2 linked regions of the Saccharomyces cerevisiae S288C genome follow. The protein of the gene in region 1 interacts with the protein of each later gene in a biochemical or structural test. Each region holds a gene or a part of one and is shown on either strand. Other genes may lie near its edges.

Region 1 (3,759 bases):
TTATTCTAATAATCGATTTTTTTTAATAAGATTAGACTTGAGTGCCATCAGCAAAGAAAAATACTTTTAATGTCCTTTTTTTAACTCTACACAGAATTTAGTTGGCTGTTTCATTGATTTACAAAAATATAAATATATACCGTTAAAATTATAGCGATAAACTGAGTATGTGGTCTCTCTTTTCCCGCAGAATATGAAAGCTTTTCTTTTATAAATCTTATAATATTGGTCTCTTTTTGGTACGTTTGGCAAATTGGCATTCATTTATCATGAAAAGAACAGGAACTATATTACTTGGGTATTGCCCATACCAAAAGAAATTAAAGATGAGGCACTGCTAGATTTACCGCTATTTATGGTCCCAGTTGGCGAGGGGAACATTCCATGGTTAATGAAGCTTGTCTTGGGTGGGCCCCCATTGAGGTAATGCGCCGTTGCGGGATTTTGGTTTTCCTTGTTAGACTCATTTAGGTTTAGCAAATCAATATAATCATTGGTTGCGTTATTGCTGTTAGGACCCGTGATTTGTTCGTAGATCCTTTGTTTGTTATTTGTATTCACCAGACTATTCACACTAACGGTGCTACCACATATACTGTTTGACTGCTGCTGACCAAATTGGTACATACTTGGAGTGATTGGTGATGATTGTTCCATATTCCGGCTGAAAACGCTGTTATCAGAGAGTGAGCTCATGTTTCTCATTGGAGTGTGGCTTTGAGATGAGGAAGCGGGCGAAGGAATGGATGTGCTATTTGAATTTTCGAAAGAGCATGATGGGGTTGATATGGTAAGCTTTCTCGAAATGTTCAAGTTGGATGCAATTTGCAGTTTTCTTTGTAGATCCAAGTGATATTCTTTCACTTGATTAATGAAGGGTAGAACACCATTGACCGTTTTATACACTTCCATCAAGGAGTTAGGAATGGAAACAATGCCGTTCATTAAGGTACTCAAAATTTCACCATTTTTGCTTTCTGATGTCATTGGAGTCATTAAAAAAGGACCGTGGTCTTGATTGGTGAATTGATTGATAATGGAGAATATGCCGTGCGATACTTCGAAAAGTTCATATCTAAGTAAGTCGTACTGCCACGCGGATACATCAATCAAGAATTTTTTCAAATTAATCAACTTGATCTTTAGTTTTAAGTCTTCTTCTTCTTCTTCTTCGTTTTGGTAGGGCCTCTCGTCTACAGTGGCATCACTATCCTGGGATAATTGAGACTGACGTTTTTCAGAGCATTGTTTGTCATAAGTAACTTGATTTTCATAAAGTTCGTATTGCATCAAACAATTTTCATCAACATTTAAAACGTAATCATTGATCATTGGTTCATAAATGTTCCAATTTAAAGTGTCTAGTATATGTCTTTCCATTTGTAAAAACATTGATTCATCAAAGACCTGACCATCACCACAGTAATGAACTAGTTCAGAGAGTCGAGGTATACGTGCCCTTGGGTTGGGACCATAAAATCTTCCGCCAGTAGGGATGACTACATTATTGATGATGTGATTACAACCGCCCCAAGTTTTAGCAGCCAACCAGAGACAAGTAGCGACAACCAATTTGGCTTGGTCCCGTAACACGATTCTCTTGGAACAATAGCGGTCATATAATCTAACTGAATGAAAAAAAATACCATTTGTCACTCGAGTGACCACAGACAGCTCGAACAAAAAAGTGATAATGTTGGACCTTGTTTCCACGGGGTTCATTTCAGGCTGCTGGTCTATTAGTTTTGGATTAGGTTTGAACTTACATGATTGAGCAATAACATTGGTGGAGATTTCTTGGTGGTATTCTTGCAGCATTTCGAAGTGAGAAAGTAATTCTGCATTAGATAGCTCAATCGGATAGTAGTCCGGTTTAGCATTGATGACGAGTCCCATACGGGGTCTTGGTTCAGCACTAGCCATTGTCTGTCGTTAAATTTAATGAATGAATGGAAAAAAGAAAAGATTTTCTTTTGTATGCAAATTATGATGTGGTAAGCGAATGAATTGGCAGCTATAGAGTCTAGCAATGCTGTATATAAGAAGAAAATTTGACGATGAAGTAAAGTAGATGTTAAAATAAAAGTAAGTTGTCCTTGATATTATCTATTGCCAATTCACTAAAAAACCAGTAAGAGGAGCATAATAGTTACCAGAGTCGATTGCTATTTTTTTATATATGAAAGAGATAGTAAGTTAAACAAGTAGCCAGAGGCTGCGTGCGATACGCAAATAGAAGGCGGATCTGCGTTCTGCGTTTGCGCAGGCCTTTTTTCCTTTCCGTTTTTCAGTAGGCCTGTCAGATCAACATTTCGCAGGTTAGATCCTCAAAAAGGGCCAACAGTTGTTTCAGTTGGTGTTCATTTCAATTTTTAGCAGTTATACTTAACAGGCTACGCCAAATGTGCTCTTCGCTAGGTATCCGCATGCGGAAACATAACGGTTTTTGGCGCGTTTCGTGACTAGAACACGCAGTTTTGAGGTTCAGCGGGACGAATTTCGTGTACTTCCGTTGAGACAAATTTCGCGATGATTTCCGTTTTCGGAAAGATGGAGCCGGGTAAAGCGCGCATGAATTGATAACTTGGCACTTTTGAACCTCAGTATCATTATTAACAATGTATAGTTGCTTTAGTTCGCATTTCAGGGTAAAAGTGCGGAGGATACGAAAAAGATGAGATAACTTACAGAAGGAAACGAATAGTGGTTTCAAAAAATGCCTTTCACTCGTAGAGAAAACAATAAAAGTTACCGCACTCCAACACAGGCGATACTGGAGGAATATTTTCAAGAGTAAATAGAAGCAAAGATGCTTAAAAATGGATACTTGAACCAATTTTTCTGTAGCGGTATATTACGCTGCTCTTTTAAAATTATTTCTGACGCGACCCGTTTTTGTGTCGCTCGGTGAAAATCACGAAAAACTTGACACTTTGAAAACTAATACAACATAAAGAGACTGAAGACGAGGAAATCAAAACAACGAAAAAAGTCAATCTTCGAAGGAGCATAGAGGCGAATGACTACTGAACAATGAATCAGGAAGACAACACGGGCGGAGGGGGCATTTTTGGTCTTTTCAAATGGACTAAGGATGCGCTGTTTGGTACGGACATATCACCTTCAATGAAATATAAAGATCAGGAAGAACGAAGAGACCGATCTAGGTATGCCCAAGACGACACAAATTTTTCTATGAAGTTTGGAAATGACTCCAACAGGAGGAGTACAAACTTATCGAGGTCAAATTCGTGGTCTGGTCTGGATTCAACGCTCCATAGGAAGTACGAGTTACTCCCAGAGTACAACGAGAACGGCTTTAACTCAATTGTTAACGGTGACCACCACAGCAAAGAGAGAATACGATCTTTACGAAGTCCTGCTCCGATAGTACCGAGAGAACCACTTCGTAACGAACCTACGGATACATTTGGTCACAGACTACACACAAAAAGGAGAACTATAAATGAGCTTTCCAATTCGCAGATACCCTTTATACCACCTCAGGAAGACGACCCTTTGCTCTCGAAATTATTTAACAAGGATGGAGTTAATGAGGTTAGAAGATCGCCCTATAAGTTATCGGTTAAAGATATACCAGGCAAATTTCCATCTCCCTTAACAAAACGTGATGAAATAGACAATTACTATGTCCGGGACGAAGATGCTTGCCACAAGAATAGAGAGTATAAAAAGGCATATTTTGATCTTTTTGCACAAATGGACTTGAACAGTAGAGACCTGGAAGATTTGTGTGAG
Region 2 (3,282 bases), on another chromosome or scaffold:
CACGTATTAATTGGTTTACTGTAACTACTTTAGCACTGTTGTAAGGTGCACCGCTTCGCACTGCCTTGTTCGGTTGTTGAAATTATATTATATACGGTCAGCGCTCCTTGAGGAAGCTAATAAAAATCGTGTTGCGATGTAAATAATGAAGGAAATAAAAACAATACCCGTCTCGGTTATTCAACGGTGACAATGAAACTCTTCAAAATTCAAAGAGCAATGAATTTGCGGAGGTCAAAAACAAGAACAGAGAAAAAAACCAAGGGCGAGTCAGATGCGAAACGGCTTTAAACAAGCGAACTCCTTATAGTCAAAGAAGTTCAATTGAGGCCCCAGCATACAATGCGTTATTTCGTTTTGTTTTTCGTTTGTCTTTTTCCTCTTCGCTTTTTTTTTTTTTTTTTTTTTTTTCATTTTCTTTGATAATACGACCTCGGTAAATACGTCATGGAACACGCCCAGCTTTTAACCCCTGAAAAGCTCTCACTTTTACTTTCGCGTATAACTGAATGTTCCGTATATGACGATGAATATATTTTCTGATGGAGTTACCCATCATAATGTTGAAACTGAGTATATTGTATTCACTATATACTTTACTAGGCTATAATGACAGTGCAGTAGCATTTGTAATATAATAGCGAAATAGATTATAATGCTTATGATTCTTGGAAGTAGGGGTGGATGGCTGCTCTTCTGGCGCTAATCCGGTTAATAGGGTCATACGCGAGGAGTTTGTCCAACAAATCAATACCGCGTGGATCTAGACTTGGTACCACTTGTGATAGGTCTTTTCTGCGCCATTGAGGAAAGCTTGGCTTGAAATCAGGCAAGTAGACAATATCTGGCCATATAGCTTCATTCGGCGTTCCCAATACTCTGAATATCTTGAAAATCTGATCGATCTCACTATCGCCACTGAAGATTGGTTTCCTGTTACACATTTCGGCAAATATACAGCCGATGGACCATGTATCGACACCTGTACTATATTGTTTTCCACCCAGTAATACCTCCGGAGCTCTATACCATAGAGTAACAATTTCATGTGTGTAAGCTCTCAACGGAACACCAAAAGCACGCGCTAAGCCAAAATCACCTAGTTTTAGATTCCCATCTTTGTTAATCAATAAGTTCTGCGGTTTTAAATCACGATGCAGAATACGGTGTGAGTGGCAGTATGCAATACCCTTACAAAGTTGCATCATAAACTTCTTAACAATATCAGCTCCTAACGGTTGGTCCTTTGGAATACCCTCCATATATCTTTTCAGGTCCAAATCGAGGAACTCAAAAACAAGATATAGCTTGTGTGCATCAGAGTGAACAATATCGTATAATCTGACAATATTATCGTCTTTTAATTCCTTCAATAATGAGATTTCTCTGATGGCTGTACTGGGAACACCCTCGTCTTCACTCTCTAGTCTTATTTTCTTCAATGCGACTACTCTTTGACCTTGGCCAGGTCTTAAGTCTAACGCTTTATAAACAACACCGTATGTACCTTCACCGACTTTCTCAAGTCTTTTGTAATTTGCTAATTCACCGCTCATGTTCGAAGGATAGTTCTATTTGATCTGGGCTATTTTCCACTGTAGCTGATGTGCTGGCTTGAATATTTTTTCCAATATGATATTCTGGAAAAGCAGTATTAAATTTTCTTTCAAGAGGACTTGGTCCTTCCACCAATTTTTTTTTTTGAGTTCTTGTTGTTTTCCAAATTTTTCTCTTTTTTTCTCATTTAGGTTCGTTTTTATTTTTGGCGTTTGTTGCCCTAATAAGGCCATATATGTATATATTGGTACATAAGCAAGTATAATACATAAGCCATGCTTTTCTTGTAAATATATATATATATATATATATATGTATTGTATAAAAACTATCTCGAGAACGATAATTCTATTCCTTTTTAACCTGTCTTGCGGCTTTTTTTAAGGCTCTAATTCTGATAGATTTATGGAAGGAATAATTAATGGAGTTAACAATCTTAGAGTAAACGCCAAAGGTCTCTGTAATTACAAATTGATACACTGCGTGCGCCCAGTAAGGGGTCATAGTAGCGTATCTTTCTTGAGAGCCGCAGCGTCTGCCAACGCTTCTTAAAGTGGATTTTACAAACTGTTGTGGATTTGGGATCATTAAAGATGATCTTCTGATTTTAGACATCGAGCTAGTGACCAAATATGAAATGATTAATTCAACATCGATAGCATCTTTAGATAATTCCCCAGCCAAAGAGTTAGACCAACCTTGTAAGAATGATTTCGAACCACTGTATGTAGCCAAAAGTGGGGTGGGAATCAGACCACCAAATGAGCCCATGGTTAAGATCAAACCACGAGTACCCGACTTCTTGTTTTCAGCTTTCACAGTTTCCACAATCTTTGGTGCAATGATTTGTGTAATTAATAATGTAGCAGTGTTATTGATAGTGATAATATTTCTAAGCTCCTTCTCTTCTGTTTCCAAAAATGGAACAGGAATGGAGTGTGATTGACCAACATTATTGACCAAAACGGTGATTGGTAACTGCGCACACAATTCCTTAATGGATTCATAGTTGGATTCTTTATCCTCCGCAATGTCAATGGCTAGAATCTTTACAACGACATGATGTTGATCTTCTAGTTCTTTTTGTAAAGCCTCCAATTTAGATTGCGTTCTCGAGATCAATACCAAGTTGAAGCCACGTTTCGCCATTTGTCTAGCAAATTCTTTACCAATACCGTCACTTGCACCAGTGATAGCACAGTATTTACCAGTTTTAGCACCATACTTGTCGAAATTGACTGCTGGTAGTAAAAAAAGATCAAAAATAAGAGCTAAAAATCTAAGTGATAACGTTGTACATTTTAAGACACCAAGCCCAAAAACAACCCATAAAAGACCATTGATACACCTAAATCTTTCCCCAGCCTCTTGAAGCTGTTGCATAAAAGTCATTTCTTAAGCTGCACCGACACGAATTGATTGCTTTGAAGACTGTTCTTCTATCTGTGTTTCCTTCAGTCTCTTTTGAAGTTGCATTTCTGCAACGCTTTTATTCGTGAAATCTCTAAAAAAGCGAAAAATAAAAAGGCCTCCCGCGGACTTAAAACAGAACATCCGAAACATTACAAAAGGCCCCTACAATTATCTCTATAAAGGACTTCCAAATCCGAGACATTGATTCGTCTTAACACTATGAGTGTATCTTTTGGAGAATTCTGTAGTTCAATAGTTTTCTGTGAAGGAATTCTGGTTTCTTCGGCCCTTCTGGAATTTCAAGTAAAAAGT

Evidence for each region.
Region 2: the proteins of CLN2 (region 1) and CDC28 form a complex in vitro, tested with the Saccharomyces cerevisiae proteins (8 studies listed by BioGRID, with this or other methods).

Annotation. Positions count from the first base shown.
Region 1 is NC_001148.4:64,692-68,450, forward strand, and holds CLN2 (cyclin CLN2), read right to left. Parts: upstream 1,924-3,759; coding exon 286-1,923; downstream 1-285. Other genes in the region: BBP1 (Bbp1p), read left to right, coding at 3,034-3,759.
Region 2 is NC_001134.8:558,352-561,633, reverse strand, and holds CDC28 (cyclin-dependent serine/threonine-protein kinase CDC28), read right to left. Parts: upstream 1,557-3,282; coding exon 660-1,556; downstream 1-659. Other genes in the region: IFA38 (ketoreductase), read right to left, coding at 1,906-2,949. UniProt on the Saccharomyces cerevisiae protein: Cyclin-dependent kinase that acts as a master regulator of the mitotic and meiotic cell cycles. Required to drive the G1-S transition. More than 200 substrates have been identified. Substrate specificity is in part regulated by the bound cyclin protein.